Linked DNA regions of Macaca fascicularis. The protein of the gene in region 1 interacts with the protein of each later gene in a pairwise test. Links are inferred from orthologs where the notes say so. Each region holds a gene or a part of one and is shown in the gene's direction. Other genes may lie near its edges. The genes, in order: NAB2, PHOSPHO2, TCEANC, NME7, MORF4L1, RFC5 and NEDD9.

Evidence for each region.
Region 2: the proteins of NAB2 (region 1) and PHOSPHO2 interact in binary tests that used the Homo sapiens proteins (3 or more experiments, as listed by UniProt). The two-hybrid records come from large-scale screens. The link is inferred for Macaca fascicularis from reciprocal best matches to the Homo sapiens genes NAB2 and PHOSPHO2.
Region 3: the proteins of NAB2 (region 1) and TCEANC interact in binary tests that used the Homo sapiens proteins (3 or more experiments, as listed by UniProt). The two-hybrid records come from large-scale screens. The link is inferred for Macaca fascicularis from reciprocal best matches to the Homo sapiens genes NAB2 and TCEANC.
Region 4: the proteins of NAB2 (region 1) and NME7 interact in binary tests that used the Homo sapiens proteins (3 or more experiments, as listed by UniProt). The two-hybrid records come from large-scale screens. The link is inferred for Macaca fascicularis from reciprocal best matches to the Homo sapiens genes NAB2 and NME7.
Region 5: the proteins of NAB2 (region 1) and MORF4L1 interact in binary tests that used the Homo sapiens proteins (3 or more experiments, as listed by UniProt). The two-hybrid records come from large-scale screens. The link is inferred for Macaca fascicularis from reciprocal best matches to the Homo sapiens genes NAB2 and MORF4L1.
Region 6: the proteins of NAB2 (region 1) and RFC5 interact in binary tests that used the Homo sapiens proteins (3 or more experiments, as listed by UniProt). The link is inferred for Macaca fascicularis from reciprocal best matches to the Homo sapiens genes NAB2 and RFC5.
Region 7: the proteins of NAB2 (region 1) and NEDD9 interact in binary tests that used the Homo sapiens proteins (3 or more experiments, as listed by UniProt). The two-hybrid records come from large-scale screens. The link is inferred for Macaca fascicularis from reciprocal best matches to the Homo sapiens genes NAB2 and NEDD9.

The regions. Positions count from the first base shown.
Region 1 is NC_088385.1:63,886,786-63,891,241, forward strand, and holds the start of NAB2 (NGFI-A-binding protein 2), read left to right. Parts: upstream 1-1,589; 5' UTR 1,590-1,747; coding exon 1,748-1,830; intron 1,831-3,618; coding exon 3,619-4,456. UniProt on the Homo sapiens protein: Acts as a transcriptional repressor for zinc finger transcription factors EGR1 and EGR2. Isoform 2 lacks repression ability.
Region 2 is NC_088386.1:65,246,022-65,250,252, forward strand, and holds the start of PHOSPHO2 (pyridoxal phosphate phosphatase PHOSPHO2), read left to right. Parts: upstream 1-1,294; 5' UTR 1,295-1,574; intron 1,575-2,046; 5' UTR 2,047-2,079; intron 2,080-4,123; 5' UTR 4,124-4,231. Other genes in the region: CFAP210 (cilia- and flagella- associated protein 210), read right to left, coding at 1,086-1,134. UniProt on the Homo sapiens protein: Phosphatase that has high activity toward pyridoxal 5'-phosphate (PLP).
Region 3 is NC_088395.1:13,442,823-13,447,272, forward strand, and holds the start of TCEANC (transcription elongation factor A N-terminal and central domain-containing protein), read left to right. Parts: upstream 1-1,462; 5' UTR 1,463-1,542; coding exon 1,543-1,732; intron 1,733-3,244; coding exon 3,245-4,305; 3' UTR 4,306-4,450.
Region 4 is NC_088375.1:26,996,301-27,000,821, reverse strand, and holds the start of NME7 (nucleoside diphosphate kinase homolog 7), read left to right. Parts: upstream 1-1,682; 5' UTR 1,683-1,769; coding exon 1,770-1,772; intron 1,773-1,948; exon of another isoform or gene 1,949-2,006; intron 2,007-4,521. UniProt on the Homo sapiens protein: Possesses an intrinsic kinase activity. Displays 3'-5' exonuclease activity with a preference for single-stranded DNA. Does not seem to have nucleoside diphosphate kinase activity.
Region 5 is NC_088381.1:56,296,325-56,300,673, forward strand, and holds the start of MORF4L1 (mortality factor 4-like protein 1), read left to right. Parts: upstream 1-1,318; 5' UTR 1,319-1,395; coding exon 1,396-1,435; intron 1,436-4,349. UniProt on the Homo sapiens protein: Component of the NuA4 histone acetyltransferase (HAT) complex which is involved in transcriptional activation of select genes principally by acetylation of nucleosomal histones H4 and H2A.
Region 6 is NC_088385.1:124,997,169-125,000,949, forward strand, and holds part of RFC5 (replication factor C subunit 5), read left to right. Parts: intron 1-375; coding exon 376-512; intron 513-1,656; coding exon 1,657-1,736; intron 1,737-3,042; coding exon 3,043-3,116; intron 3,117-3,781. UniProt on the Homo sapiens protein: Subunit of the replication factor C (RFC) complex which acts during elongation of primed DNA templates by DNA polymerases delta and epsilon, and is necessary for ATP-dependent loading of proliferating cell nuclear antigen (PCNA) onto primed DNA.
Region 7 is NC_088378.1:161,564,827-161,569,289, forward strand, and holds the start of NEDD9 (enhancer of filamentation 1), read left to right. Parts: upstream 1-1,650; 5' UTR 1,651-1,834; intron 1,835-4,463. UniProt on the Homo sapiens protein: Scaffolding protein which plays a central coordinating role for tyrosine-kinase-based signaling related to cell adhesion. As a focal adhesion protein, plays a role in embryonic fibroblast migration.

The DNA.
Region 1 (4,456 bases):
TCCAGTTGCGGGGCGGAGGATTGGGAGACGGGACTCTGCTCGTTCCCACCACCCCCACTGTGTTTGGCGCTTAATAGGATGAAGAAGGGGACCTGAGCAACTGAAATCCCCCCACCAACAACGCGCTCATTCTCCCCGGACCCCACAAGGCGGAAAGGTCTCCTCTCTAGGCCAGAATGTAGAACCAGCCCCAGCCCACGGCCTCCACGCCCCAGCCCCTCAGAAGTGCGGACAGAGGAGAGGGGCGGGGCGGGGCTCAGGTTTCGGACTAGGGGAAACCTCACCTGTGGCCAGTCCGCTGGCTTCCCTTTGTCCCCCACCAGCCCCCCTTTCCCTGGGGCTTAGAGCCTTTGGGCCGGGCCCTCAGAGCCCCCGCCTCCCCCAACAGCCCTCCCAGCCGTGGGCGGGAGTGCAATGCGAACCAGATGGGGCTAGGAGAAACCAAAGGGGGAGACGGTGGTGGGTTGCAGGGGGTGGGGGACTAAGCTCCTTCAAGGCGCTCCTCCCTCCAGCTCCGCCGCAGGAAGTCACGTCGGAGGCTCCCGACCTCTTATCTTCCACTTGACTCTCGGACGAGGTCCCTAATAGACGGCCCCAGGAAGAGTATCGTCTTTGTCTCAGCCTTGCCACACAAAATTCCCAAGCAGGGCCTCATCCTCAGCAAACAGAGGACAAGTGGAGGAATCCCTGCCTGACCTACGCGCTGACAAAACCCGATGCGTCCAATCAACACGCGCACCTAAGTGGTGGCATGCAGCATAACCCCCCCATCCCTGTTTCCCAAACTTTTCCAGGCTAGCATGGAGGCCTCGGTTTCTGAAAGCTGCCCCCTCAGATTACTCCACTGGGGGGCTGGGGAGGGGCGCGGGGATATCTAGGGGATCCCTGCAGAACCCCACGCTCTCAGGCCTGCCTTAAGTGCACACATATTATGGGAGTCAGATGCACACGCAGGAGGAGCCGCACACCCCAGCCTTCGCGAACTTTTCCCGACTGACTCCTAACATTCACAGGTCCAGCACCACAAGGCCTGAGTGTGGGCAACGGGCGTCCCCGTCGTTGTTTAGGTGCGTGTGCACGTCCGTGCGCTTCTTTGTGTACTTGTGCGTGGTTGTGAAACTCCTCTCAACTCGGAGGAGTGGGGGAGACTAGGAATGTCGCCGGCGGGGCGCTCACGTGGGTACGTGGGCGCCAAGAGGGCCGGCTGTGCATCCGGCGTGGGCGGCACAGAGCGACCTCGCCCCGCCCGCTGCGTCCCCAAGCCCGCCCTCCACAGCCGGGCCTCGGTCACCTCGGTCCCCAATTCGGCGCCTCGGCTCTGAATCCCCGCCCCCGCCTCCTGCTCCACACCCCCTCCCCCCAGTCTCCGCCTCTCCCAGTCTCTAAGCCGCGGCGTCTCCGCGGCCGAGAGGCCCTGGTGCCCGCCCCCCGGCCCCCGCCCCCACCCCCGCCCCCGGCTCTGCCCACGCCCTCCGCCCGCCAGCCCGGCAGCCAGCGCAGCGCCGGGCCTCGCTCCCCGTGCGTCCTGCGGGGGCGGAGGCGCGGAGAGGCGGCGAGCGCAGCCGGGGAGGGTGGGGGGGCAGAGGCACAGACAGAGGCGCGGAGGCTCGGAGAGAGAAGACGTGGAGGGAGGGACAGAGCCTGGACAGCGGTGGACACGGCATCGTGCGCGGGGCAGAGTGCAGCACGCAGCAGGCGCCGAGCGCTGGGCACCGAGAAGAGCAACCCGGGTGGTCTCCGGCCGTCCATGCACAGAGCGCCTTCCCCCACAGCCGAGCAGCCGCCGGGCGGAGGGGAGAGCGCCCGCCGGACCCTGCAGCCCAGACTCAAGTTAGTGGGCAAAGGGAGGCAGCGGGGAGTGGAGATGGGTGGAGCTGGACTTGGGAATGGGGTCCAGAGGGCGGAGGTCGAGGGGAGGACGTGGGGAAGCGGGACGGGGGTGGGGGGTGGAGACTGATGGAAAAGGGGGTGCGTCTTCGAATTAGGGGGCCCTGGGAGCAGGCAAACATCTGATGAAGCTGGATATGAAAGAGTAGTACCTAAATATCCATTCCTGGTTTACTCTGTGGGCTCTCTCTGGCCTAAGTGCCCCCTGTAAAGAACGTGGGAGCCTCCTAGCACCAGGGAATGCCCTGGAGCTCGAGCTGGCGTCAGTGCGGAAGGTGGGGGGACGCTCAGTTGCCTCAGTCCCTCGTTGGCACGGAGCGCGCGGGCCCCCGGGGTCCAGGAGAAGGCGGTGCCTTTGAGTTAAAGGAGCATCAGCTGGGGGAAGGGGGGTGACGAGGGAGGCAGGGAGGCCTTAGGCAGTTCCTTCCTATGTCTGTCCCTTTATGCACAGAGTGGGGAGGGGAGTTTCAGTGTGCAGCCCCTTCTGCAAGAGGCCTTGAGCCTCTCCCCTACTCCACTTGAAGATGCGGGTGGAAAATAAGGGAGAGGAGAGTAGGCGGGAGCCCCTGGGCGGTTTTCGCCCACAGACGCTACCACTGTGGGAGTGTGTGTGGGCGGAACGGCCCCGGAGCAGAACAATTGCGCCCCTCCCCCTGCCGCAGCCCCTGAGCTGAAGGAAAAGGCCGACTGAGGAAGTGGGGAGTGTCACTGCTAGGAGAGGGGCCACTGAGGAGCACTGGGCAGCCTGGAAGGGTGGAGAGGTCCTGGGGGGAGAGAGGAAGCGTGCTGGTTAAGAATGCTTAACCAGGCCATTCTTAACCAGGCCGGGCGCGGTGGTTCACGCCTGTAATCCCAGCACTTTGGGAGGCCAAGGCGGTTGGATCACGAGGTCAGGAATTCGAGACCACCCTGACCAACATGGTGAAATCCCGTCTCTACTAAAAATACAAAAATTAGCTGGGCGTGGTGGCGGGCGCCTGTAATCTCAGCTACTCAGGAGGCTGAGGCAGGAGAATCGCTTGAACCCAGGAGGCGGAGGTTGCCGTGATAGCCCCACTGCACTCCAACCTGGGTAACAGAGCGAGACTCTGTCTTAAAAAAAAAAAAAAAAAAAAATGCTTAATCCCTCGGAAAAGCTGAGCGGAGAAGAGCAAGGCACCACCTGGCTCACTGAGTGGGAAAGCCAGGGAAGGTGCCACACCCTCCCTCCTAGCCACCTGGGGCTGTGGCTCCTTCACAGGGAATGAAGCTGGCCAGCAGCGTCCACTGTGCGGGAGACAGGGGTTCTACATTCACTTTAGTATAGGCGACTTCACTTTAGTGTTGAGACTGCTGAGTGTTTAGGGTGGAAGGTGAGGATTGTGTTTTGGGGGAGAGGGAGGTCCAGCCATCCGAGGTCGGTGCTGGTTAGCTTCAGCGCTCAAGTTCTTCTTACCTCAGACCAAAAAGATATAAGCTGAAGATAAGGTTTAAGAGGCTTCGACTCCTGCAGACACAGGGCACTGGTTTTTGGGGCTTCAGGCCAGTCTAGGACAGCACTGGCTTGTCCATGCCTCTGAGCAGTGCCTGATTCTCAGAGTCTGTACTCAGACCTGGGCACTGCGCAGGACAGCATCCAAATGAGAGAGGGGAAGAAAAGCAGGCAGGAAAGAGGGAACAATTGTTAGTGTGGGTTGGTACCCAGTAGGGGACTTGCACCGACTGCCTCTCTCTTGTGCCCCTCCTTCTCAGGCCCAGTGCCCGAGCCATGGCACTGCCTCGGACGCTGGGGGAGCTGCAGCTGTACCGGGTCCTGCAGCGTGCCAACCTCCTTTCCTACTATGAGACCTTCATCCAGCAGGGAGGGGACGACGTGCAGCAGCTGTGTGAGGCGGGTGAGGAGGAGTTTCTGGAGATCATGGCACTTGTGGGCATGGCCACCAAGCCCCTCCATGTCCGGCGCCTGCAGAAGGCACTGAGAGAGTGGGCCACCAATCCAGGGCTCTTCAGTCAACCAGTGCCTGCTGTTCCCGTCTCCAGCATCCCGCTCTTCAAGATCTCTGAGACTGCGGGTACCCGGAAAGGGAGCATGAGCAATGGGCATGGCAGCCCAGGGGAAAAGGCAGGCAGTGCCCGCAGTTTTAGCCCCAAGAGCCCCCTTGAACTTGGAGAGAAGCTATCACCACTGCCTGGGGGACCTGGGGCAGGGGACCCCCGGATCTGGCCAGGCCGGAGCACTCCAGAGTCGGACGTTGGGGCAGGAGGAGAAGAGGAGGCTGGCTCGCCCCCCTTCTCCCCCCCTGCAGGGGGAGGAGTCCCTGAGGGGACTGGGGCTGGGGGGCTGGCAGCAGGTGGGACTGGGGGTGGACCAGACCGACTGGAGCCAGAGATGGTACGCATGGTGGTGGAAAGTGTGGAGAGGATCTTCCGGAGCTTCCCAAGGGGGGATGCTGGGGAGGTCACATCCCTGCTAAAGCTGAATAAGAAGCTGGCACGGAGCGTTGGGCACATCTTTGAGATGGATGATAACGACAGCCAGAAGGAAGAGGAGATCCGCAAATACAGCATCATCTATGGCCGTTTCGACTCT
Region 2 (4,231 bases), on another chromosome or scaffold:
GCACACATCTCTGAAACCCTCTCCTACTTAGCCTTCCCCTAAAAATGGAGATTAAAATTTAGCAGCGAGGCTCGGATGGAGGCTTGTGAGCTAGTTGACACAAAACATTATTTAACAACTATTAGGTAAATCTAAACCAGGTAGTGCAGAAATGCATATGCAGGAAAGTGAATATGTGGGAGTAATTGTGCTTTTCCAATACTTGCCATATTGATACTGTTTCTTTCCTTTTACATGGCAAAAGTCCGCTGCTAACCTCATGAAACCTCCACTGCATAAATATCCACTAGTGAAGAATGACTGGCTCTCACTCTGCATCTGGTGCAGGGGGCACTATTGCTACAGAAGTTCGGGCAATGACATGAAGATACTTCAAACTGCCAAAGTTCTAGTTGTCACCATGACTACATTAATTGCCAATTTACAGACTTAAGAAACTGTCGTAGCTAGAATTGATAGAGTTCTTTAGAAGTCTATTTCTATTCCAAAATCAAATTGTTATAACAGGTCATCTGAATTACAATACTTTATGTCGCACGATTTTTTTTTTTTAAACTCTATGCAAGCATTTGACTTAGAGAGATACCTTATATTTACTTTAGAGAGGAGGAAATGGAGAATTTCCTTCAGAGACTTTTAGTAAAGACCAATCAGCAAGTTTGCAGCAGAGCCAAGACTCTAAAGAGGGGACTTATATTTCCAAGAGATATTCCAATTCAATCAGTGAATAACAAACTTTAAGCGTGCCGGAAATTTAACAAAGCCCAGATTCTCAGAGCTGCAACTGCGCAGTTTTAGGTTAGCTGGGGGTGGGGGGTCTCTGATTTCCTATCTTTTCTCCACCCCTATTTCTGTAAACATTCTCCCACCCACTTCCACTCCTCGTTTCCCTCCTTCATCCATTCACCTGAGGGCAAGATGGCCTAACTTTACACAGAGCCCAAAGATGCTTATTGAGGATGCTTTCGACTTGATGGAGTCCATTTCAAAAAGCAGCTGAAGCTCTCATTCGGCATCCTCGCCTCTCACTCCATGCCGGGGATCCAGAAACAATCCCTGTCCCTGGATAAGTCAGTGTAGCTCACCTGTACTTTCCTTCGCCTGTCCACAGCGTCGTCCAAACCGTACCAGCATCTCTGACGAGGTGTCCACGGTGCGCCCAGATCTGGAAAAGTGACTGTAGCGCCATGCGCCGCGGACTCCAGCCGGTGGACGTTGTTACTCGAACCACGCGGTTGCTTGGCAACGCCGCCGGAAGTGACGCCAGCCGTCGCCGAGGAACAAGGAAGGCGCTGCAGTTGGCGGTCGGGCTAGACAAGAGAGGCGCCTGCGCCCGCGCCTGCGAGCTGGGCTTGTGAGTGGGGCTGCCCAGCGGGCAGGCGTGGGGCGAGGCCAAAGGACTGAACCCGCAGGAGCGTCACAGGCGCCGGGGCGGCTGCCGACGGCGGGCCTGGGTCAGTGAGAAGGCCGTGGACCCCCGCCCTGCCTGCTACTCCCATCCTCGCCTGCTGCGCGCTCCATGGGGAACGACCTCCGATTGGGTCCGATGCCTACCCTCGGGGTGGAGCCGGCAGGTGTGTGAGCGCGCGAGGCCTAGCCGTGGTTTGTGTGTCCCCGATCTCCTCGCGGGTGGAATGTGAGGAGCAAAGCCCTTCCTTAACTATAAAAACCCGCGGATTCGCTGACATAAACGCCGTTTTTTTAATCCTTTGGTTTCTGGGGCATGGTCAGGACTAGATGGGGCCAAGTTTTTTAAAAATAGGAATGTTAAAACTTAATGATATGCTTAGAACATTTATGTTAGGACCTTTGAGATATTTTAAATTTATTGGTAAATACAGGACCACAGAAATCTGTTAGGAGTAGCTGCGCGTTTGGTTTCAAAAGATCCTTTTCTAATACATTGATGTACAGATAACTTCATTACTAACAAGTTGGCTCTGATGTGTACACATAATGCACCAAACTGGAGTCTCTCAAAGTGAAAGAACAAAAAGATTTTTAATAACGAACGTCCTAACACACAGTCGTGCTATTTTTCTTTAGGTTTTCTATCAGATGTTCTACGTAATAATGCTGGTAAGTATGGAATAATTAAGAAAATATTTGTAGACATAAATTAGTTTGTGCACATAGAGCGCTGGTAGGTTTTTGGAAGCATACCTTAAAAAGTCAAGAACTGGGGGCCAGGCGCGGTGGCTCACGCCTGTAATCCCAGCACTTTGGGAGGCCGAGGCAGGCAGATCACGAGGTCAGGAGACGGAGACCATCCTGGCTAACACGGTGAAACCCTGTCTCTACGAAAAATACAAAAAAAGTTAGCCGGACGTGGTGGGGGGCGCCTGTAGTCCCAGCTACTCAGGAGGCTGAGGCAGGAGAATGGCGTGAATCCGGGAGGCGGAGCTTGCAGTGCCAAAGTGTCAAGAACTGGGAAGGAACAGAGATTTTACCCTGTTTGCAGGCTAACTTAGCCTGGCAGTTTCATGGAAGACAGAAGACTATTCGTTTCAGGAATGAATTACCCCCAGCAGTAGCCAGTATATCAGCAATTTTGCCTGAGTTCCCTAAAGCCCCAGTTCCCACAGGATAATGCAAAGTGGGCAAGAAGTCACCTAGATGTAGAGTATGTTGAATTACAGGAAAGCAGCCCTGAGCTTAGGGAACCCAGATCTTTATCATTTGGACAAATAAGCATGTTTCTCAAGGCTGTCCACTGTAGAAACATCCTTGAAACAATAGTGGAAAGAGCAGTCAGTAAGACATGCACAACCACCAGAGACGCAGGGAGAATTGTCCCCCAACAAAAATTCTCTGGAATTTTAACAAAATTGGTTACAAAAAGTGTCGAATCTCATGATTTGATGTCAGTTACTTGCCAATTTGACATGGTGGTCAGATATAATTTGACTTCAGACTCGAGCTTCCAACTCCAACCACAATCCAAGTCAATCTAGAGTTGTTTGTCCTATACCCACCACTCTTTTTTTTCTTTGTTGTAAATTTAATAAGGTAGCATATGCACTCTGATCTGAAACAGTTTAAATTATTCTGAGAAGAAAAAAATTTTATTACAAAATTAATGTAGAAAAAGTGTGAACTATGGTTGAACCAACCATAACCATTCCACCGCACATGTAAACATTTTCTAAAACAACAGGATTATACTGTACATACTATTTTGTGACTTGCTTGTTTAATTTGAACTGAATATCTTAGCTTTTACTGGCTGGATATTCTATTATATGCTGTCACATGCATATCTTATTTAATTATTTCCCAATTCTTGGATGTCTGTGTAGTTTCTAATTTTCTTTTTTTTTTTTTTTTTTTGAGAGGGAGTCTCGCGCTGTCGCCCAGGCTGGAGTGCAGTGGCCGGATCTCAGCTCACTGCAAGCTCCGCCTCCCGGGTTTGCGCCATTCTCCTGCCTCAGCCTCCCGAGTAGCTGGGACTACAGGCGCCCGCCACCTCGCCCGGCTAGTTTTTTGTATTTTTTTAGTAGAGACGGGGTTTCACTGTGTTAGCCAGGATGGTCTCGATCTCCTGACCTCGTGATCCGCCCGTCTCGGCCTCCCAAAGTGCTGGGATTACAGGCTTGAGCCACCGCGCCCGGCCGTAGTTTCTAATTTTCATTGTGTAAAGTACACAGGATATTGTTACACTATGGAAACATTGCAGACATACCAAATGGACATAGATTGTGCTTTTGAAGAGAACCGTTAACTCTTTTTGGAACTTTAACAGATTGGTTTCAAAATAGATTCACATTCTTAAAACTAAATCTTTGTGCATATCCTTAATTTTTGGAGACATTTTAATTTCTAATGCAGCACTAAATCTCTAAATGTCTATTGACAACAGAATGTGGAATTCCTCTATTATTAAACAAGTAAAAAGAAAAAAATGGACTCTGAAAAATCTCAGTCAGCTTAGCACTATGATTTTATCCACTGGACAAAAACTTATTTTCACGTAACATTTCTTATTTTCGACACCAAGTCAATACCAAGTGGAAAGCAAAACTTTGTTCTCCTATTGCCAAGAGATACTTTCCTGACATAAGAAAAACAACATAATTAGAAAATACAAATGTTAAAGCTTTTAAAATACTTTTATTAATTTTAGGAGTTAAGAAGTTTCCATTATTTTGCTCCAAACCAGAAGACTCTGTTCCCTGTATATAGAATAGGAGTAATGTTTGAAAACAACTGGCTGGTGTTTAAGACTGAAGAT
Region 3 (4,450 bases), on another chromosome or scaffold:
ATTGAAGAAATCAGGGAGGGAGGTTTGCTAGGCATTGAGAAAGATGGTTAATAAGAGATGGGCCTACAGCGCCCAAAAGGAAGTTAAGCAATATTTGACTCAGTTCAGAATTTCTCAACTGAAGGTCTGACTGAGTTTCAAGGTGATTCTTAAAGGGAATTGTAATTATAGCTTTGGGGTTTCAGTGGAGTGAAAGCAGTAATTTGTCTTACCGGCAAAATGAGTAAATCTATAGAAGTTAATGTATTTATGTATAAACAACCAAAGCACTTTGCTCTTCATTTTATATGTTCTTTTATTGACCTTTATATTTCTTTAAAAATTTTTAATTGTGATAAAATATACAAAACATAAAATTAACTGTCTTAAGCTCCCCCCCCCAGCTTTTTTTTTTTTGACAGAGTCTTGCTCTGTCACCAGGTTGGAGTGCAGTGCACAATCTCAGCTTACTGCAACCTCCGCCTCCCGAGTTCAAGCAATTCTCCTGCCGCAGCCTTCCAAGTAGCTGGGACTACAGGCGTGCCCCACCACGCCCAGCTAACTTTTTGTATTTTTAGTAGAGATGAGATTTCACTGTGTTGGCCAGGATGGACTCGATCTCTTGACCTCATGATCCACTCGCCTTGGCCTCCCAAAGTGCCGGGATTGCAGGTGTGAGCCACCACGGCCAGCCTGTCTTAAGCCCTTTTAAGTATACAGTTCAGTAGTGTTAAGTACATTCTCATTCCAGAGGGAAAGTAGGTAGAAGGTGATTGATTCATTGCTCATACCATTTTTCAGTAGGTATATCTTAAATGTATATAGTTTATCATGAAATTACATTAGACTAATAACTTTTCTGATTATGAAAACAATACACGCTCATCACAGAAAATACAGAAGAGGAAAAGAACAAATGAAAATTACCTAAAATCTTGCCATTCAGAAAATGCCCCTCTTTAAAATTTTGTGTAACTCTTTTCAGTCTTTTCACATGTAATTCTTAAATAAAATTTGGATCAGATTCTATTTTTAAATAACACCTTTATTCAGATGTAGTTCACACATCATACAATTCACCTAAAGTGTGTAATTCAGCGTTTTTTAGTATACTCAGTTGTATAACCCATAACCACAAATAAATCAACTTTTAGAAGATTTATTTGTGCCACCACTCCCCAAGAAAATCCCTGAACTTTATCAGCTGCTCCTCCTTCTTCACCCTGCTGCCCTTCTGCCCCACCCTACCTAGTCAACAACTAATCTATTTTCTGTCTCTATAGATTTGCCTGTTTTGGACATTTCATGTAAATAAAATCATGCAATATGTGGTGTTTTCTGTCTGGCTTCTTCCGCTTAGCATAATGTTTTCAAAGTTCATCCATGTTGTAACCTGTATCAATACTTCATTCCTTTTCATGGCAGAATAATATTCTGTTGTGTGGATAAATCACATTTTATTTATCCATTCATCAGTTGATGGACATTTCGATTATTTCCCATTTTTGGCTATTGTGAATAATGCTGTTATGAACATTTGTGTACAAGTTTTTGCGTGGACATATGTTTCCATTTCTCTTGGATCTGCTGGGTCATGATAACTGGTTTATTTATTTATTTTATTTTTTTAGACGGAGTCTTGCTGTGTCGCCCAGGCTGGAGTACAGTGGCATGATCTTGGCTCACTGCAAACTCCGCCTCCCAGGTTCATGCCATTCTCCTGCTTCAACCTCCCAAGTAGCTGGGACTACAGGTGCCTGCCACCACTCCCAGCTAATTTTTTGTATTTTTAGTAGAGACAGGGTTTCACCATGTTAGCCAGGATGTTCTCAATCTCCTGACCTCGTGATCTGCCCGCCTTAGCCTCCCAAAGTGCTGGGATTACAGGCGTGAGCCACCACGCCCAGCCCATATGATAACTGTTTAATCTTTTATATAGTTTTACATCTTGATTGTTTTTCACCTAACTTTATGACCATTTTTCCATGTCATTAAATAACTAAATACATGATTTTTAAATGGTTATATTATTGTATCTAAGGAGTGTGCCATATTTTTAACCATTCTCCATTTAACCATTTGAGGTCCTTCCAATTTCTCCTTAGAAAAAAATTCTTACATATGCAGTCTCCACATCTCTCATTTCCTTAAAGTAAATTTACGGAAGTAGAATTACTAAAAGGTCATTATGTTTTATGTCACTTGTCAGATGGTGTCTGGGAAGATTGCATGAATTCTCTCTCTAAACACTTCAGTGTTCTTAGCCTGTGTATGTTCAGTGGTGATTATTTAACATCAAGTGCTATAAAACAGAGCCCATGGATTTTTGAAAAGACACAGTCCCTGCCATCAAGATGCTTATGTTCACATCTAGACCAGACAGATAAATATAGATCCAAGGGTATTATATAGACAAGATTATGTACATTATGTGGAGAGGAAAAGGTAGACTGCTTAGATAAAGTAAACGCTTGCCTGCCTAGGATGAGATTCACACAGACATAATCATTGAGCAACTTTTTACGCTTAAAAGTTTTTAAAAAATTAACAAAACCAAAATGTAGGAACCAGTTAGTCTAAAGTCATAAATCATCTGGATCATTGAGTCTGAACCTTTCCCTTGTTCAGGAGACTTCTGAGGCAGCACAGTGTAGCCTGTTGGCTTTTGGGACCCGCAGACGTAGCTCTAGCTGCTTTTCAACCTGTGCTGTCTCATGGTTTCTTTAGATTGCTTGAGACATTAGCAAACCCTTTCTGTCTTGTTTCTTACTCTTTTATATTCAGAAGAGTACCACTTTAAAGATTATGAAATGAGCAAGTAGTTCAATTATATAGCTGACTCTGGGGAAAAATTGTCTAGCACTGTTCAGCATTGCCATATTGATGCTGACACTGGCATGATTTCATCTCCAGCATGACCACCGGATTCCACCCAAATGGATTGACTACTCTAGAAAGATCATTGATTTGTAAAATTGGAGATGGAAAAGCTATAGCAGATCCCCTGGCGAGCCTCTTAAGCAGATGTTATGTAGAGGCTCTGCAATACTGTTTGTTTATTTTTCACTAGTAGGAATTAAACTCTTGAGAGTAAACCATACCACCTTAAAGACTCCGTTTTCTAGTATGTCACATACATTTGTATTACATGACTCCTTCAGAAAACAATGCCTAGGTTACTGACAGAAACTGCTATTTTCGTATCCAGAAGCTGCGACTAGCAAAGGCAAACTTAAGAAAACTGAAACCTCTTTTTTCTTTGCAGCTGTAAAGATGTCTGACAAGAACCAGATAGCTGCCAGAGCCTCCCTTATTGAGCAACTGTTGTCCAAAAGGAATTTTGAGGATCTTGGCAACCACCTTACTGAGCTAGAAACAATTTATGTGACTAAGGAACATCTCCAGGAGACAGATGTGGTGAGAGCTGTATACAGAGTCCTCAAAAACTGCCCCTCTGTGGCTTTGAAAAACAAAGCCAAGTGCTTGCTATCAAAGTGGAAAGCTGTTTATAAAGAGACTCACTCCAAAGCGAGGAACAGCCCTAAATTATTTCCTGTGAGGGGTAATGAAGAAAATTCAGGACCTTCTCATGACCCAAGTCAGGATGAGACACTGGGCATCTGCAGCTCAAATTCTCTATCTTCCCAAGATGTTGCAAAACTCAGTGAAATGATTGTGCCTGAAAATAGAGCCATTCAATTGAAACCTAAGAAAGAGCATTTTGGGGATGGTGGCCCTGAATCCACTGGTAAGAGATTGAGTGAGTTGCTGGATCCCATAACACCCATGAGAACTAAATGCATAGAGCTTCTTTACGCAGCTTTAACTAGTTCTTCTGCAGATCAACCCAAAGCTGATTTGTGGCAAAACTTTGCAAGAGAAATTGAAGAGCATGTTTTTACCCTTTATTCAAAGAATATCAAAAAATATAAAACTTGCATCAGAAGCAAAGTTGCCAATTTGAAGAACCCCAAAAATTCTCACTTACAACAAAACTTGCTCTCTGGTACCATGTCTCCACGAGAATTTGCTGAAATGACTGTCATGGAGATGGCAAACAAGGAACTGAAGCAGTTGAGAGCCTCCTACACAGAATCTTGTATCCAGGAACATTACCTTCCCCAAGTAATTGATGGCACACAGACAAATAAAATAAAATGCAGACGCTGTGAGAAATACAATTGCAAAGTCACTGTAATTGACAGAGGAACACTTTTCCTTCCCAGCTGGGTGCGGAATTCAAACCCAGATGAACAAATGATGACTTATGTAATTTGTAACGAATGTGGGGAGCAGTGGTACCACAGCAAGTGGGTGTGCTTTTAACTGTAAATGAGTGTTCTCTTAACAGATAACCTGAGTGATTGATACCTTTTATTTGTACAACCCTTCTGTGCTTTTAAAAATCTTGTACACACTACTCTCTAAAACAGAAGAAGGAGGAAAGAAAGTCGTTCCTGAAGCTGACACC
Region 4 (4,521 bases), on another chromosome or scaffold:
TATGCATATGAAATAATTTAAACAATATATAAACACATTCATTGAGTACCTCTAATTTAAAAGTTATGATATTTTAATTGCTTCTGTATTTAGTACACATGCATTTAGAAAGCGAAATGTCTCTTATATCCCTTTCTCCCAGAAGGCATTGTTACATCTACTAAAAGTCTCAAAAAAAAAAAAAAAAAAAAATAGGGGTGGTTTACTTCTAAATATTCCGTTTCACCATCCTCACCAATACACTCTAAATTGTCAGAAGTGTGTCCTGAATTTTAGCCAAGCAATGGCAATGAAGTTACTGTGGTGGTTTTTTGTCATCCGTACGACAAGAGGAATTTTAAAGTAATTACTTTCTTAGGAGACATACTGACACAATTCGTATGCACACACAGACACACACACACATCAAAAAGGAGCTTCTGTTTAGATGTGTAACGAACGAGAAAAAATATTACTCAAGATAACATAATTCATATTTTTTTGGTAATAAAGTTAAAATAGTGTAGCTCCAAAAGTAAAAAGAGAAACATATATTGAGCACATGCTTTCAGAAATGTACACACTGCCTACAGTACAGACTCAGATTTACTAGAAAACATATAAAAAGGTGATGCTACTGCAATGATATAAATATGACAAACTGTACACTAGATGACAACTGGTGTCACTACAAAAAAAGATCGCTCTCAGTACTAGATACAACTCAGTTCAATTAGTGAACCCGACGACTAACTTTCTTAACAGTCACAAACTTTTCTACACTACAGTCTATTGCTCCGAAAAGAGGTATCCAAAAAACCCTTCGTAAGAGTAACGATCCCTGAAACTGCCCTTGATAGTTGCTCTGCGAAACATACAGGCACACCGAGTGCGTGCTGGCAAATGCCAAATGAAGGTGAGGGGGTGAAGAAGTAAGTAGGGGGAGTGAGCAGGTATGAGAGCGATAGGCCGGGAAGCGACAAGTCTGTCAACCTTTGCTGTCCCGGGAAGTCGAAACCGAAGTTCCATTCCTGTCTGAAAAAGCCTTCCCGGAACAACAATCGTTCCCTAAATCCAAAGCTACTGGCCACCAAGCTCCAGCCAGACCTCCGTCCCTTTCCAACATCCTTAGTTATACCTGCTTGTCCTCGGATTTACCTGTAAGATTCTTATTCTCCGTATTTCAGGGGACTTCACTTCATAGGCTCTTCGGATCGGTATCACCAGGCTAACTTCTCACAGACCTCTTCCATTCAGAAGCCGGCCCGCCCAGGCCCTCCACATATCCAGGAGCTCTCTCACTCCTAACCACTTCCGATTACTCAGGGTTTCGCTTCCGGAATACGTTTCCAAAAGAGAAGGGTAAATACATTCTGCAGTGCGTTTAAACTCAAGTAACACAGAACACACACTGTAAGGCCTCCGTAAGTGGAAAGCGGACAGATGTCTACTTTAAAATAAAATACTGTACAGCAACTTTTGGAGCCCAAGCCTCAGATTCACTTAAACTTCCGGGCCAGCTGTTAAACAAACGGAAGTAAAACTGCCGGAAACAGAAAAACGGCGTCTCGTAGCCCCAGGCGACAGCGTGGAGGGGCGGGCCTGTCGATTGGATGAACGCAGCTGAGATTACTCCCAGCCACTAAGGACGAAGAGGTGGGGCGGTGGCGTCCCACGCACCGTGCGACAGTGGGCGGTGCTCTGTTGCCTGAGTAACCGGATGATGGTGTTGGTGGTGGTGTCTTCCTGTCTCAACGATACCTATTTTCTAGTGCTGAGATCCTGAGACAATGGTGAGTGCCAGGGGATGTCAGAATAACGGCTGTGGGTCCTAGCTACTTAGCGTTCCAAGTCTTCGGGCGGATGGGCACTTAAAGTTGTCCTGTCCTCCCGACCTTCTCCTCATTATCTCTTTCCCCCTTCCCATGGGCTGTTACTGCAGTTTACTCGCTCTCCGTATTTCTTACAGCACCCTGAATTCCACTGATGCTACTAAGTCTCTAGAGTAATGAAACAGAAAATTCAGGGTAAGGCATCGAGTCTAATCACCTGTTTTGAACAACATTATGTGTTTTCATTGTTCATCGTGGCATTTTTCATGCTCACAGATTCACATTAACGCGCTTTATTAAGAGTGTGGGGTGGTGTGTATGTGACTGTCTCAACACTGATCTGAATCTCCCTAGATCTTGGAGTCCTTTTGCTTTTCTGAGTGGCAGAGCACTGCCCCACGCCCCCACGAGGGCCATTAACAGATGTATGTTGGATCAGCTCTCGTCTGTCCAGTTGCTTACCTTCTAGGTCTGTGCTTGCTTTTCTTTTCTTTCTTCTTCTTCTTCTTTTTTTCTTTCTTTTTTTTTTTTTTTAAACAGAAATTTCTCCTGGGATTGCTTGGAGAGCTTCTGCAATTCACTGTTTGGACTTCACCCCTGGAAATTCTGAATGAAAGGAATGGGGCTTGGTATTTGCATTTTAAATAAACCTGTAGGTGATTTTAATTCACCCACATGTTTGAGAGTACCAGGGTTCTAGTTAATTCACTTAACTATCGTGTCTTTTAAGCACTTATGGATAATGGACTGGAAGATAGAAAGATCTTTAGATAGTTATAGCTACGAATTTAGAAACAGAGCCCCCACCCATCACCCCTTGTTTCTTCATACTACTCAGCAATCCTTTTGGTTACCCCAGTTTTCCCCTGCCCCATTTTCTGTAAAGACATTTTCAAACCTTCCATTTATAAACCCTGTCTTTTGCCCTTCTCATTTCTCCTTTCTAAACATGATGGAGTATAACAATTCTTCAACCTCATGCCCCCAACCTACACACTGATCTATATTTTTGCCAAGCCTTTAGTCTTGTATTTCTAGTGTAGAGAAAGGGATATTAAAGGATAATCCATCCATCTTTGCTTTTGATCTCATTTGCTTCCATCTGTTACATTTCGCTTCCAGTTGTCTTTTTTCTTTCCTGTGCTTTCAGCCTCTTCCTCTTCAGTTCCTTCTACTCAGTGCTCAAGTCACACATCTTATGAAAATTAAATAAAGCAAAACCATGTCATCCATCCTGTGTTTATCCAGTTATTTCCCAGTCCTCCTATCTATCAGTAAACTTATTGAAAGGATATTATTTTTACTTATATCAAACAGACAAAAGTCTTTTGTCTGGCTTCTTTAATGCCTTCAAGAAAGTTGTTCTTGCTTAAGTTTCTAAAGGCCTTTTAAATGCCAAATACAGTAATTACTTCTCAAAATTTATATCGCTTAGTCTGTTTGTGACAACTGAGGTTCATAGTCATTAATTCCTTTTACTGGCTGTGCCTGGTTTTTGAATGTCATTCTTTGGAATTCACTCCTTAATTACTTTCATTTCTTAGTCTAGACATTTTCCTTGGGTGATTTTGTCCACTCACATGGATTCTATTAACACCTTTGATTTTGCTTCTAAATTTCAATTTTTCTCTCAGATCTACTAATGCCTAACTCAGTTGCTTCCCGGACACATCTGTCTCAAAGGTCCCTCAAACTTAATATGACCAAAACTGAACTTGCTATCTTTCCTCCTGGTTTCTCCTATTTTCACCAAGTTAAATACTGCTACTACTATATTGTAACCTAAACTAGAAATCAGAGTTATCCTACATTCCTCCCTTTCCTATTTCTCCCATATTCAGTTGGTCACTAGATCAAATTTTAGTTTGTCATCTCCTCATTTCTTGATTATTTTAATAGTGACTTTTACAGTCTGGTCTGGAAATTCTCCAATCCATTATTTTCTCTGCCACAAGAAGGAATTTTTAAAAACCCAGCCTGTTGATTTACTCACCTCCTTAAAACTCTAGAATCCCCATTTCCTACAGTAAAATGTCTAGAGTGGCACACAAATTCCTCCATGAACAAGCACTTCTCTGTCTAGCTTTTGCCTTTCCTTTTCCATACCTTTTTTTTTTTTTTTTTTATAAAAAATTATCTTGCCTTTTAGCTACTTGCTTTTCATTGAACATACCAAGCAACTTCAAACTGGTAGTATGCCTCCTCTTTCTACTTTGCACTTGCAATTCCTTCTGCACAGAATACCTGCACCCTCTTGTTGCTTGCCAAACTCTTATTTATTCTCCTGTTACAGGCCAACGTGTTCTTCTTGCCCGCTTCCCAGAAAGGCCAAACATCGAGAATGCAGGAGTTGCAGCAGAGAAAGAGTTTAATGGAGGCAAGGCAGCTGAGTGGCAGGATAGGAGATATTTCTAAAATCCACCTCTCTGACAGCTTGGAGGTTGTGGTTTTTAGGGATAATTTTGTGGGCAGGTGGGTAGGGAGTGGGTGCTGCTGATTGGTTGGGGATGAATTTATAGGTGTTTCCAAACTGTCTTCCTGTGCTGAGTCAGTTGTCTAGGTGAGAGTCATAGGACTAGTAGAGTCAGTTTCTTGGTATGAGTCATGTATCTGGGTGGCATCAGGAGGTTTGCCAGAATGCAGAAGCCTGAAAAATATATCAAGACCAATCTTAGGTTTTATAATAGTGATGTTATCTAAAGGAGCAATT
Region 5 (4,349 bases), on another chromosome or scaffold:
TTTTTGTGGGTTTCTGTTGTCGAAGAAGGGGTTGTGTTAAAAAGACTGAAGGAGAAATGGAAGTCAGAAAAATGGAGAGGGGCCCGGAAATGGTAGGGTGTGGCACCCGGGCAGGGGAGGGCTTAGAAAAGCCATGGAGGCAGGCTGGGCACGGTGGCTTGCTCCTGTAATCCCAGCACTTTCCGAGGCCAAGCCGGGCGGATCACGACGTCAGGAGTTCCAGATCAGCCTGACAACATGGTGAAACCCGGTATCTACTAAAAATACAAAAATTAGCTGGGCGTGGTGGCACGTGCCTGTAATCCCAGCTACTCCGGAGGCTGAGGCAGGAGAATCGCTTGAACCTGGGAGGTGAAGGCTGCAGTGAGCCGAGATCAGGCCACTGCACTCCAGCCTGGGCGACAGAGCGAGACTCCATCTCCAAAAAAAAAAAAAAAAAAAAAAAAAAAAGAAAAGAAAAGAAAAATATATAATATTGAAGAAATCCGTTTGTTTAGTGTGTGTACATTCAATCATGGCTCAAAAATTAGATGACAAAAAAGTACAAACAGGGCAGGTACGGAATGCAGAGGTTGGCATATTCACACTAGCCTTTTGCGGATAGCAGAGCTCCATTATCTCAAAAAGCCAAAGCCTGACTAGTGTTTCCCACGTCATCTTCCTCATTTCCGCAAGGCCGGGACTGGAGAAGAGGAGGTAGACCTGGGAGCCAACAAATGGCTATCAATCCCACCAAATAGACTAGGCAGTGGGCTTGCTAAACAACGAAGCTTCCAGAAGCGGACCCCACTTCCCATCCTCTTGTGGCCACATTGCTGATCCTAAAGCTTTTCTATACAAAAACTAGCGGAATGCTATTGAATATAGGTTTTCGAGGCAGCCCTATTCTCTCCGGCTACTTCAACATCAATGGGGGCTTATTTGCCCAAAGGACGTCGCAACTGGGTTTTTCCCATTCTTTCATCGCTGGTGGTTCACCGCCCCCACTCTCCCCCATTGCCCGCTCTGCTTTAACCTCCCACGTAATCAATTCCCCGCTTTACCAACCCGCAGCAGCCCGGGGGATGGGGAGTGGCGGGGGGGTGGGGAGGAGTGGGGTAGGGTAGCCGGCCCCTCCCCCACCCAGCTGCGCCTCCACCAACTAGAAACTACCAGTCCCGGCGTGCCCCGGGGCGGCGCGGGCGCAGGGGCGCGGGCGCGGCGGGTTGTCATTGGCTGGAGCAGCGGCTGCGCGGGTCGCGCTGCTGTGAGGTCTGCGGGCGCTAGCAAATCCGGCCCAGGATGTAGAGCTGGCAGTGCCTGACGGCGCGTCTGACGCGGAGTTGGGTGGGGTAGAGAGTAGGGGGCGGTAGTCGGGGGTGGTGGGAGAAGGAGGAGGCGGCGAATCACTTATAAATGGCGCCGAAGCAGGACCCGAAGCCTAAATTCCAGGAGGGTGAGTGTGCGCCTTTGGGAAAAAGGCACCTAACGGCGCAGGAGATGGAGGCGGGCTCGAGGTGGTTGAGGTTTGAGGGCCGGGGGTGGCTCGGGGTGCACCCTGAGAAGGCGGCGGATAGTGCTTTGTGCGGGGAAAGCGCATTGCGGATGGCAATTCCGATGCGTCATTGCGAGCGCTTTGTGAAGCGAGAGTGCTACGCAGGCGTTAGAGTGGGAGAGGGAGCGTTTGGCGCGTGGCACACCCTCGTCAAGTGTTTGTTATTGTTCTGAGGAAGAGGGCGCGGAGAGAGCAGCCTATTGTAGGGAGGCGACCAAGGCGCCATGGCGGCGGTTAGGGGAAGTGATGTGGCGGCGGGGGGAGGGGCGGCGGTGGTTTCTGGCTGTCCTGCAGCGCGCCCGGCCGCTTGGGCAGCCACGACGGGCGGTTAGGTGCTCCCTGGAGCCCCGGGGTGGTCGCGTTCGGTGGAGACTCGGAGCTGCAGATGGGGGTGGGTTTGGCGCCACGGGGCGGGAGAACTGTGTTGTAAAATGGCCGTTGCAACATGGCGGCTTCATCATGGCCGCTGGCGTCTCTGCCCCGTATGCAGGCGCAGCTTCAGGGCAGATGCAGCGCCCCCTTCCACGAAGACCGCAAGGTTGCCGGGACCCTTCGCTTACCTCAGAGTGGTGGGTGGGGACAGAAAAAAAAAAAAAGGATCAGTGGGATGAGCGTTTTCCTCCGCTTTGTGTTGCCTGGAGGCCTTACTCTGCTCTTAGGCGCAGTGCCAAGATCCTATGGTAATGTTAGTGCGCTCTCGCTTTGCAGTTGCTCGTAAAAAGTAAATAAAAATGATCTGAATGCAGTGTTAACGCCGTTTGCCTTTGTAAGTCCCATTGTCTCGACGTCATTTTTTAAATGCAGTAATTGTTTGATTAGTTGCAGTGTTTAACGGTGACTTGAAAGTTGAGTTTATTTTTATTAATTGGTTTTCGATTGGCATGTTTGGCTAGGGTTAGACTGCCAGTGGAAGGCAGCTCTTTAAATTTTCACAACGCTTCAATTTATGTATAATAAGGTGGAGGTCTAATAGCTAAAAAGGAAGTAAAATCCTGTTGAAAAGGAGGAACACTCTAATATTCGTTTTCATTGCTATCGAAATTTATGCTAGTTACCGTAAATACGGTGTTTCCATGCGTACTATTTTTGTTCTAGGGATTTTTAGACTTGCATTAAAATTCCTTTTAGAGACATAAATCTTAAACCGTAGTACTGCGTATCTTATGGGATATTTAAGGGAGTTTTAGGGGTATTTTGTTAACGAGTGACTTTTTTGTTTATATATATATATATATATTTTTTTTTTTTTTTTTTTTTGAGACGGAGTCTCGCTCTGTCGCCCAGGCTGGAGTGCAGTGGCCAGATCTCAGCTCACTGCAAGCTCCGCCTCCCGGGTTTACGCCATTCTCCTGCCTCAGCCTCCCAAGTAGCTGGGACTACAGGCGCCCGCCACCTCGCCCGGCTAGTTTTTTGTATTTTTAGTAGAGACGGGGTTTCACCATGTTAGCCAGGATGGTCTCGATCTCCTGACCTTGTGATCCGCCCGTCTCGGCCTCCCAAAGTGCTGGGATTACAGGCTTGAGCCACCGCGCCCGGCCTGTTTATATTTTTGAGACGATGTCTCACTCTGTCACCTAGGCTGGAGGGCAGTTATGGTACTCGGCTCACCTCTGCCCCCCGGGCTAAAGCGAGCCTCCCAAGTAGCTCGGATCACTGACGCGCGCCGTCATGCCCGGCTGAGTTTTGTTCTGTTTTGTTTTTAGGGGTTTTTTCTTTGTGGGTTTTTTTTTTTTTTTTTTTTTTTTTTTGTATTTTTGGTAGGGACGGAGTTTCATGATGCCCAGGCTGGTCTTGAAGTCTTGGGCTCAAGCGATCCACCCGCCTTGGCCTCCCAAAGTGGGAGGATTACGGGCGTGAGCTATCGCGCTCAGCCGTGTGACTTTTAATACCCTTCTCCCACCTTGAGAATCTGTGACTCTACCTCCTATGGATTCATTATTTTACTAGACGTTTTAGAGCAGATATTCTTAGTCAGTGCATTCAGAGGGTCCGTGAAATTGAATGAGGAAGATGTGTTTTTTCTGTGTACCCAAGTTTAGTTTTCAGTTAACAGTGTAATTCCTCCCCCCAAACCCCGAAAAAAAACGCCGCATTAGTATTTTCAGTGTATTTTCATATCTCAGCATTACAGTTGTGGAAGATGTTTTCAGTTATCAATCATTCTCGTTTCTTCAAAATTAGGGTAGTTGCTGGATGACTAGCCAAGTCTTTGTCCTGTAATGTCATAGAACGTGACATTTAAAATGTTTTGGTGTTTCGATACAGTTGGTTGCCTTTGTACTACTGTGTGTTTTATGTATTTATGAAATCATTCGGCTCGTAGGCTGTATCAGACAAGGCACAAAAAGTTAATCGCTTCTGTAGGAACAGCCTTAGGTTGGCTGTTTAAGGAAGCGCTTTAGTTCTAGAGGGTTGCTAGTTAAGAGGGGAATAGCAGCAGAGAATTCCTTGTGCCTTTTTTTTTTTTTTTTTTTTTTTTTTTGAGACGGAGTCTCGCTCTGTCGCCCAGGCTGGAGTGCAGTGGCCGGATCTCAGCTCACTGCAAGCTCCGCCTCCCGGGTTTACGCCATTCTCCTGCCTCAGCCTCCCGAGTAGCTGGGACTACAGGAGCCCGCCACCTCGCCCGGTTAGTCTTTTTGTATTTTTTAGTAGAGACGGGGTTTCACCGTGTTAGCCAGGATGGTGTCGATCTCCTGACCTCGTGATCTGCCCGTCTCGGCCTCCCAAAGTGCTGAGATTACAGGCTTGAGCCACCGCGCCCGGCCCCCTTGTGCTGTTTTAAGTGGTGTAATTGGAGAAAGGTAGGAACTAAGGT
Region 6 (3,781 bases), about 61 Mb from region 1:
CTTTAAGATCATTCATTCATCTTCTTCAGATAGCTGCAGTCTAGTGGGTAAGTCACGAACATGAGCATAAAATTGCAACTCAGTGGAGTAAAAATAGCATTACAGCGAATCATTTAAGTTTACAGATGTTGTCAGCACCCAGAAAGGTGCCTGTAACACAGTAGGCCCTCAATAAATACTTGCTGGCTGGCTGCACTATTGAGTGAATTCCAGTTGCCCCAGGAACGCAGAGACAAGGCCCCTACATCAAGTTGCATCTGCCTCTGATTTGGACATTGCATTGGGTTGAAGAGCTTTCAGCCCAACTCAGGGGCCCAGGGTGAATGAGGCGGCTCCCAAAGACTGATGGTGCCCTTCTTCCTTCCTGATCCTCAGTTCAGAAGTTTATCAGTGAAGACCGACTGCCACACTTGCTTCTCTATGGTCCCCCAGGGACAGGCAAGACATCTACCATCCTAGCCTGTGCGAAACAGCTGTATAAAGACAAAGAATTTGGCTCCATGGTCTTGGAGGTAAATACAATTGTTCTTACTCCACAAATAACTTAGGACTCCAGTCTCTGAATTTCAGTTCTGCTGGCTTTATTTTACTTTAAAAGTAAGTTGCCCCATGGACAGTTAGGAAAGAAGTAAATTCGAAATAAGATATTTTAATTCCCTTTTTCCTATAATGGTCATTTTAGTCTGGATTAGTGTTGGTCAGCTAGAGGGCAGTTGTAGGGCTAGGCACCTTTTTCTTTGCTGTTGCCAACTTCTACCCAAACCCTCCTTTATGGTTACTTGGTTGCAGCCTGTCTGCCATGGCCCCTCCAGATCAATTCTCCACATCTCTCCACCCTATTCCTGCCTGGAAGGCTGAGCTCTACTGACTATAAGCTTACTTAGCCTCTGGCTCCTGGTTGGGTTTGGCCAATAGAGGCCTTGGCAGGGGTAGGGGAAGGAAGTGAGTGATGCCGGGACCTTCCCTGAGGGCTGACAGGCTGGCAGCATGGCCCATCTGTAGGGTACATCTCACAGGTGGTACCTTTCCTGCAGCCCTCTCCAGGTGCCTACAGCCACTCCCTTCACTAACCCCTTCAGGCTTAAGGGTCACGGGTATTGCATAGCCCCATGGTTTTCCTATTATCGCACCTTTAAAAAGATCTCCTTGTTTAATTCTCTTCAAATTGCTGCGTTTGAGTATGCCATCTGTATATTGCTGCGACCTTGACTAACATACTTAGATTCAAAAATGTGAATATTGTCTATTGCAAGAAAAGTTTAATTTACCTTTTAGACGCGGGTCTCAGAACTTTGCTGCTACTAATGTCCTTATGTCAGTTTATTAAGAACTTGGTAACCTTGGGATTGTGGTAGCTGAAATTCGTATCATTCTGCTCATACCGGAGGTGCTATTCAGTGTAACCATACCAATTAATTATTTCTCCAGCTTATGTCAGTCATTGTCCTCAAACGGTGGGGGTAATATAGCCATCTTTATTGATTTAGTGAGTTTTGTGTAAAACTGATTTTTTATTTTGTGATGATCTCTTAGCCATCATTAGACATAGAAAGCTAACCTGCTGAGCTGGACTGATGAGGAGATACATTAAAACCAAGAACTCACAGATAGCATAGCAACATGCTTTTTGTTTTGACTTCTGTCTTCCACGTTTAGCTGAACGCTTCAGATGACCGAGGAATAGACATCGTTCGAGGACCAATCCTGAGCTTTGCTAGCACAAGGACAATATTTAAGTAAGAATTATTTGTGTAATTTCGCTCCCTTGATTTTGATTAGTAAGATGACATGGCTTAATTTTTTAATCCTCTCCTTAGCCAGTTTATATGGGTTGAAAAAAAATACTGACTTTGTCCAAAGCAACCATGGAAAAGAGATAAAGGAGAGGATGGTAGTAAGAAGTACTATAATGCAACTGCTAAAATAAAATGTTGTCTACACTTATATTAGCAAGTTCTTTTTTTTTTTTCCCCTTTTTTTTTGGAGACAGGATCGCCCTCTATGGTACAGGCTGGAGTGCAATAGCATGATCTCGGCTCACTGCAACCTCCACCTCCTGGGTTCAAGCGATCCTCTAGCCTCAACCTCCTGAGTAGCTGGGACTACAGTCGTGAGCCATCACGCCCAACTAATTTTTGTATTTTTTAGTAGACATGGGGTTTTGCCATGTTGCGTTGGCTGGTCTCGAACTCCTGAGCTCAAGCAATTTGCCTGCTGCAGCCTCCCTGAGTGCTGGGATTACAGACGTGAGCCCAGCCTGTATTACCAAGTTCTTTAGGGAAGCATTCTTCATTTTTAGTTCCTGAGAACTGGTTAGATTACCCTAAGCCTGGATGAGCTAGTTTGAATTTTAAAATAAATTGAGATCAGGAAAGACAACTAGGATGGTGGCTAAAAAAAAAAAAAAAAAAGAAAGAAAAAGGGTGAGGGCCAGGAACAGTGGCTCACACCTGTAATCCTAGCACTTTGGGAGGTCTAGGCAGGTGGATCACCTGAGGTCAAGAGTTCAAGACTAGTGTGGCCAACATAGTGAAACCTCGTCTCTACTAAAAATACAAAAATTATCTGAGCATGGTGGTGGGCGCCCGTAATCCCAGCCACTCGAGAGGCTGAGGCAGGAGAATTGCTTGAACCTGGGAGGCAGAGGTTGCAGTGAGCCGAGATTGCGGCACTACACTCCAACCTGGGCAACAGAGCAAAAACTTCGTCTCAAAAAAAGCGAAAGGGTGAGAGACTCTGGTGTGAGTGAGGGAGATGGGGAAAGCAGTAGCATGGTAGGGTGGTATGTGGAGGAAAGTGAAGATGCCAGAGGACACAGCGCATAGAAGTAGAGAAGTCAGTCCTCCATTCCCACCAAGTGTTGAAGGAGTGATGGGGCATTTCCTCTCTGAGTGACCAAAGATGTCTGTCTTGGCCAAAGTTCTAGAAGAAATAGCCTTTCCGAGACAGGACCTGATGGCACAAATGGGAAGATGTAGGTTTGAGCCCCGATGTTGAGGTGAGATTGAAGAAATCTTTAGACAGCACCATTTGTTTTTCTAGGAAAGGCTTTAAGCTAGTGATCTTGGATGAAGCAGACGCCATGACTCAGGACGCCCAGAATGCCTTGAGAAGAGGTAAGCAGAGGCACTGTGGAGTGTGTGGGCTGGCGCGCGCACTAGAAGGAGAATTAGGAACTTCGTGTTTGTTGCTGTTGTTATTGTTTTTTTGGGGGGGGGAGGGGATGGTTTTGAGTCAGTCTTGCTCTGTCGCCAAGGCTGGAGTACAGTGGCGCGATCTCAGCTCACTGCAGCCTCTGCCTCCTGGGTTCAAGCGACTCTCCGACCTCAGCCTCTCAAGTAACTGGGATTACAGGCATGCACCACCACAGCCGGCTGATTTTTATATTTTTAGGAGAGATGGGATTTCACCATGTTGGCCAGGCTGGTCTCGAACTCCTGACCTTGGGTGATCCGCCCACCTCGGCCTCCCAAAGTGCTGGGATTACAGGAGAATTAGGAACTTTGGACATGAGATATGGCATGACTTGTTTTCAGTTTTCATCTTCTGGCCCAGAGAAATCTCTATGCCTTTCTGTGTGTCTCCCATCTGATGATACAGGCAAGATACCTCTGCAGTGGGACCTTCCCCTTCAGCAGCCTAAGGACTAAGCCCTGCGGGGACTTTTAAGTCTGGCCAGTCACTGGTGTTCAACCTCCTTTGACACTGGGTTCAATTTCAGGGTTGAGAATTCATATCTTTCCATGGGATGGGGTGTGGAAAATCTTTCATCCCTAAACTA
Region 7 (4,463 bases), on another chromosome or scaffold:
GACTTATGCAGACAACTTGATGGCGTTAATATTCAAGTCATACTATAAAATTATGTTTTCTAAAATTTATACATTTAAATTTGTACTAATTAAATGCCTAATGAAGAAAGTAATTCCTTACCTGATATGGTATAATGGGAAATGCATAAAAGGACATTTTGATAAAACATGTACTATCCGGACTTCTCTGCCTCCATCAATTTATTATAAATACTCTGTACTATAAAATAAAAACTTCAGAGTAGAATAATTCTAACTCAAATCTGGAACCATGTGGATACATAGCACGTACTCAAGAATGGTTTTGTAAGGAGAGAGAAAGAGAAGAAGGAAGAATAAAAGCATACCTTGATGAATATTGTTCATTGCCCTTAACACGTACAATATATGTATGATGATTAATACTGATGTTCTTGTTACTGACTTATTCATAAGACCCAACTGTACATGGCACTGAGCTGAGTGTTTATTGCTTTAAGTGTGGCATCTTTGTATGAGCAGAATATTCTTTAGCAAGATTTGAACAAGCTCAAACATTTAAAATTAAATGAATTTCAGAGAAGTCTTACAGAAAATTAAAACAAAACAGAACAACAACAAAAGAGATGCCACAAGAGCGCAACACACATGAGCTGAGTCTGATGGGTGGGACCAAGGGCGGCCCTTTCTTTGTCTTCATGATGGAGCAGGAACAAGTTGGAGCAGAAACATCAGGCACCACAGGATCATTTGGGGACATCCATTATTCAAACCACCTCTCTCTCTTTCCTCTCAACCCTCTATGTCCTCAAGGCATTTGCTAGGCACGAGCAAGGAGTGGAAAATGAGGAAGGGTAGGAAAATAGCAAAGATCTCAGTTGATAATAATACAAAGTTGCCACTAATGATCATAGCAAACACTTACATTGTGCTTACTCTATTTGTGCCAGGCACTCTTGGAGTGCTTTACATGTACTAATTTGCTTAATTCTCACAACACTCCTGTGACTGTTCCCATTTTACAGATGAGGAGGCCGTGGCACAGAAAGGCCAGAAGTGTTTAAAGAGCAGAGTTATAATTCAAACCCAGGAGGCTTGTCTCAGAGCCACTTGTCTGCTACTCGAAAGCACAGAATGAAGAAGACAAAAGGTGTGGGCTTTCAAATTCCCGTCCACATACACAGATCTAGGCTTCCATATCACATTGTAAGTAGGAAACTCTTTGAGCACCTAGCCCCTAGCATAGTGTCTATTCCAGTGTACAAGCTCAATAAACACTTGTCTTATGAAAGAATGTTTTGTGTCAATTAATAGTGGAACCCTTTGCAACATACGAAGTCCATAAAACCATAAAATCCCAATTCAGTTGGCTTGGAAATGCCTAACTTTTGCTTCAGTGCAGCCTAGGAGGGAGCTTATGCCACGCAGAAAAATACATTTTGACAAATTTCCTTGCAATACTAATTTAAAGATCACCTTTCTAAAAATAGCAAAGAAGCCAGATGAGAACAAGCTTTCTTACCTGTCCCTAAACTACAATGTCCTCAGCGAATCAGAAAGTGTGACCGAGAAAAAAAAGAAGAGGCACAGAGAGGAAATGAACCAAGACAACATCACTTCACAGCAACCGGAAGGAAAAACACACATATACATACGCCACTCACATCCGACGTGTGTGGTGGCTCAGTAGGGAAATGCTTACAGCTGCCTTTAGAAGCAAGTCCGCTCGCTGCATGGAGAGGGAAGCATGAGCCTGCAGCAGGACTAGCTGTCACCTCCCGCCCGCCGGCCCAGAGACAGGGCCAGAGCGTCAGGGAGGCAAAATGATCCATCGACGGTGCCATCCTGCCCTTGGGTGAGTTCTCAGCCACTTGCCGTGGCCTGTGGGAGAGGAGGGACTCACTCAGGCTCCTACTTCCTGAGTCGGTGCCAGACATCTGGTGGTGTTTCCCCACTGTGAACACCCCTCAACTGGGTCAGGGAGGATCTCCACGTGCCCCAAAAGAGGAATGAGTGACTCCAGGTCTCCGAGTTGACCTGGAGGTGCTGGTTTTAGTGCAACATTCAAACCCGCAAGATTTCTACTTTTGAAATTGTTCTGGGTGGATGCTTCCTGGTGCGTAAGTACATGGCCCCTCCCCTCTTCTTACTGTTGTCAGAGAGCTTACCTGACAGCAACTAAGCTTTTTTTTTTCCTGAATTATTTCAGTACTTCAAGGTGTGAGCCGTCACTTATTCTTTATGATGGATTAGAATCATTTACGTCCTTTTCAGCCTCTTTGGGCATGAGTCCTGACTGGCTAGAAATGGTGACTGAGAATTGGATTCTGTGTGTCCTATCCCTGTAGTCATTAGCATCATCTCCAAGGGACTGAGGACAAGTGACAGCACACTGTGTTCTCCCTGTCCATAGTGGGCCACCCAAGAGTTCCATCCTTACTTTTCTCTATGTTTATTCTTTCACTTAACCCATTCATTCATTTCTTCCTTCCTTCATTCATTCAATTGCCTTTCTTCCATGAAGGACTTGAGGCAACCTTTTCATCTTGCTGAAATTATTTCAAAATGAAGACCATCTATAATCACAAAGGGGACGATCGTTCTGAAAGGGTTATATGTAGTTCCAAACTATGCAGAGATCGGCCACCAATCTTTTCCCTTTGCTTGTGTTGAGAAGTGAGAGTAGGCACTCTAGTCATTTAAACTCCTGCATAAAGAGGCCCTCCTTCCCCTGCCCAGAAGCTGGTTTCTCACCCAGAATTGGGTGTAAAGAGCAATTGTCCATGGCAGAATCCTGGAAATCAGCCAAATAGTTTTCTTCTTTGTTTCTGTTTTCTTCCAAGCTTGGTTACTTTCAAGGACATTCCCGTTCTAAGAATGTGGGGAGTAGAGTTGGTGGAAAAGAAAGGATATGAAATCAGTGTTCAGCTAGCGCTCCACCATTTCTTGTTAATTGGTTAATTTATTTAACACCTATTTAGTGGCTGTCACTTTGTACGTCACTACTTAAACAAGATAGCTGGGCGCAGTGGTGTGTGCCTATAGTCCCAGCTTTGCAGGAGGCTAAGGTGGGAGGATTGCTTGAGCCCAGGAGGTCAAGGCTGCAGTGAGCTATGATTGCACCACTTCACTCCAGCTTGGGTGACAGAGTGAGATCCTGTCTCAAAAAAAAAAAAAAAAGAAGAAGAAGAAGAAGTAGGAGACTAGGAAGATAGAAGCAGAGGTGTAGGAGAGGACAGGCTGTACGGGTCAAATGATGTAATTCCTGGTGTCTCTTCCTCTACATGTAAATAAGGGGAAAGAGCTATATTGAATGGCTGTGGTAAGGATTAGATTGGAAAGCAAACATTTAAGCATCTGGCAGAGAAGGGGTGTCCGAAGTAGTCAGTGTCCTGCCTCCCTCCTCCAGGCCTCACTGACTGAGCTGGCTGCTGACAACCTGAGTCTTTAACTCATGACCTGAGAGCTTTCTCCAAGTCACATAGGGCCAACTGCAATTGCCCAAATGACAGACGAAAATTCCCAGAAATGAACTCCTCAAAGGCTGTAAATATTTCAGCTCCCTCAGTCCTGAGTGGAATAATCTACATGGGATCAAGCTCCAGTTGCCCACAGTGGTGGGGCCCTTTATGGCTTCTCTCCTTCCCTGTATACTCCTTCACTCCCCGTCAATGCTTCCTGGGATCATTTCTTAAACTACGTGTCCTCGAACTCTGCATTGGGTCTACTTCCGGGGTAACCCAAGCTAAGACCACCAGCCACCTCCTGCTGTAGGTACTTAAAGAGTTTAGTACTCTGTTCTCCAATGATCAGCTCCATCTCCATTTGACCTTAGACTCTGAGTTTTGATTTCCCACATATCCATTCAAGGATCCCCCTTCTCTTCTTCTGGATTTGGCTTGGAGAAAGGGCACAGGCACAGCTCAGGGAGAGCACCTTAGGCTCAACGTTTCTTCATGCAAACCCACACAGCACAAAGATGTGTCCTACTGCAAATGACCTTCACTTTGTCCTGCTTGTCTGTCACCTTCACAACTCATTTGATCAAAATTTCTGTAGTGTGAAACACAAATAGGAGAATTTTGTGTAGCACAAGATGCATAGACAAAGCATGAAGTCACATTGAGCCTGATCTTAAAGCCTTTCTAACTCTTGGCTCCTTACTGTTTTAACAAAGAGAAACTCCATCTGAGGCTCGGAGCCATCAACAGGCACTGGTAGCTAGCTACAAATTATTAACATGGCTTTATTTTCCTGTACGTGTTTTTTATGATTACCTTGTATTAAACCACAATGGCCTGTTTTTTTTTTTTTTTTTTTTTTGTAGGAGTGGTATAAACATTTCTTTTAAAATATAAATGTATTTAAGTTTTTTAAAAAGTGAGTTTATGATTATTATTTTTTTTGAGACAAAGTCTCGCTCTGTCACCCAGGCTAGAGTGCAGTGTGACTCACTGCAACTTCTGCTTCCCAGGTTCAAGTGA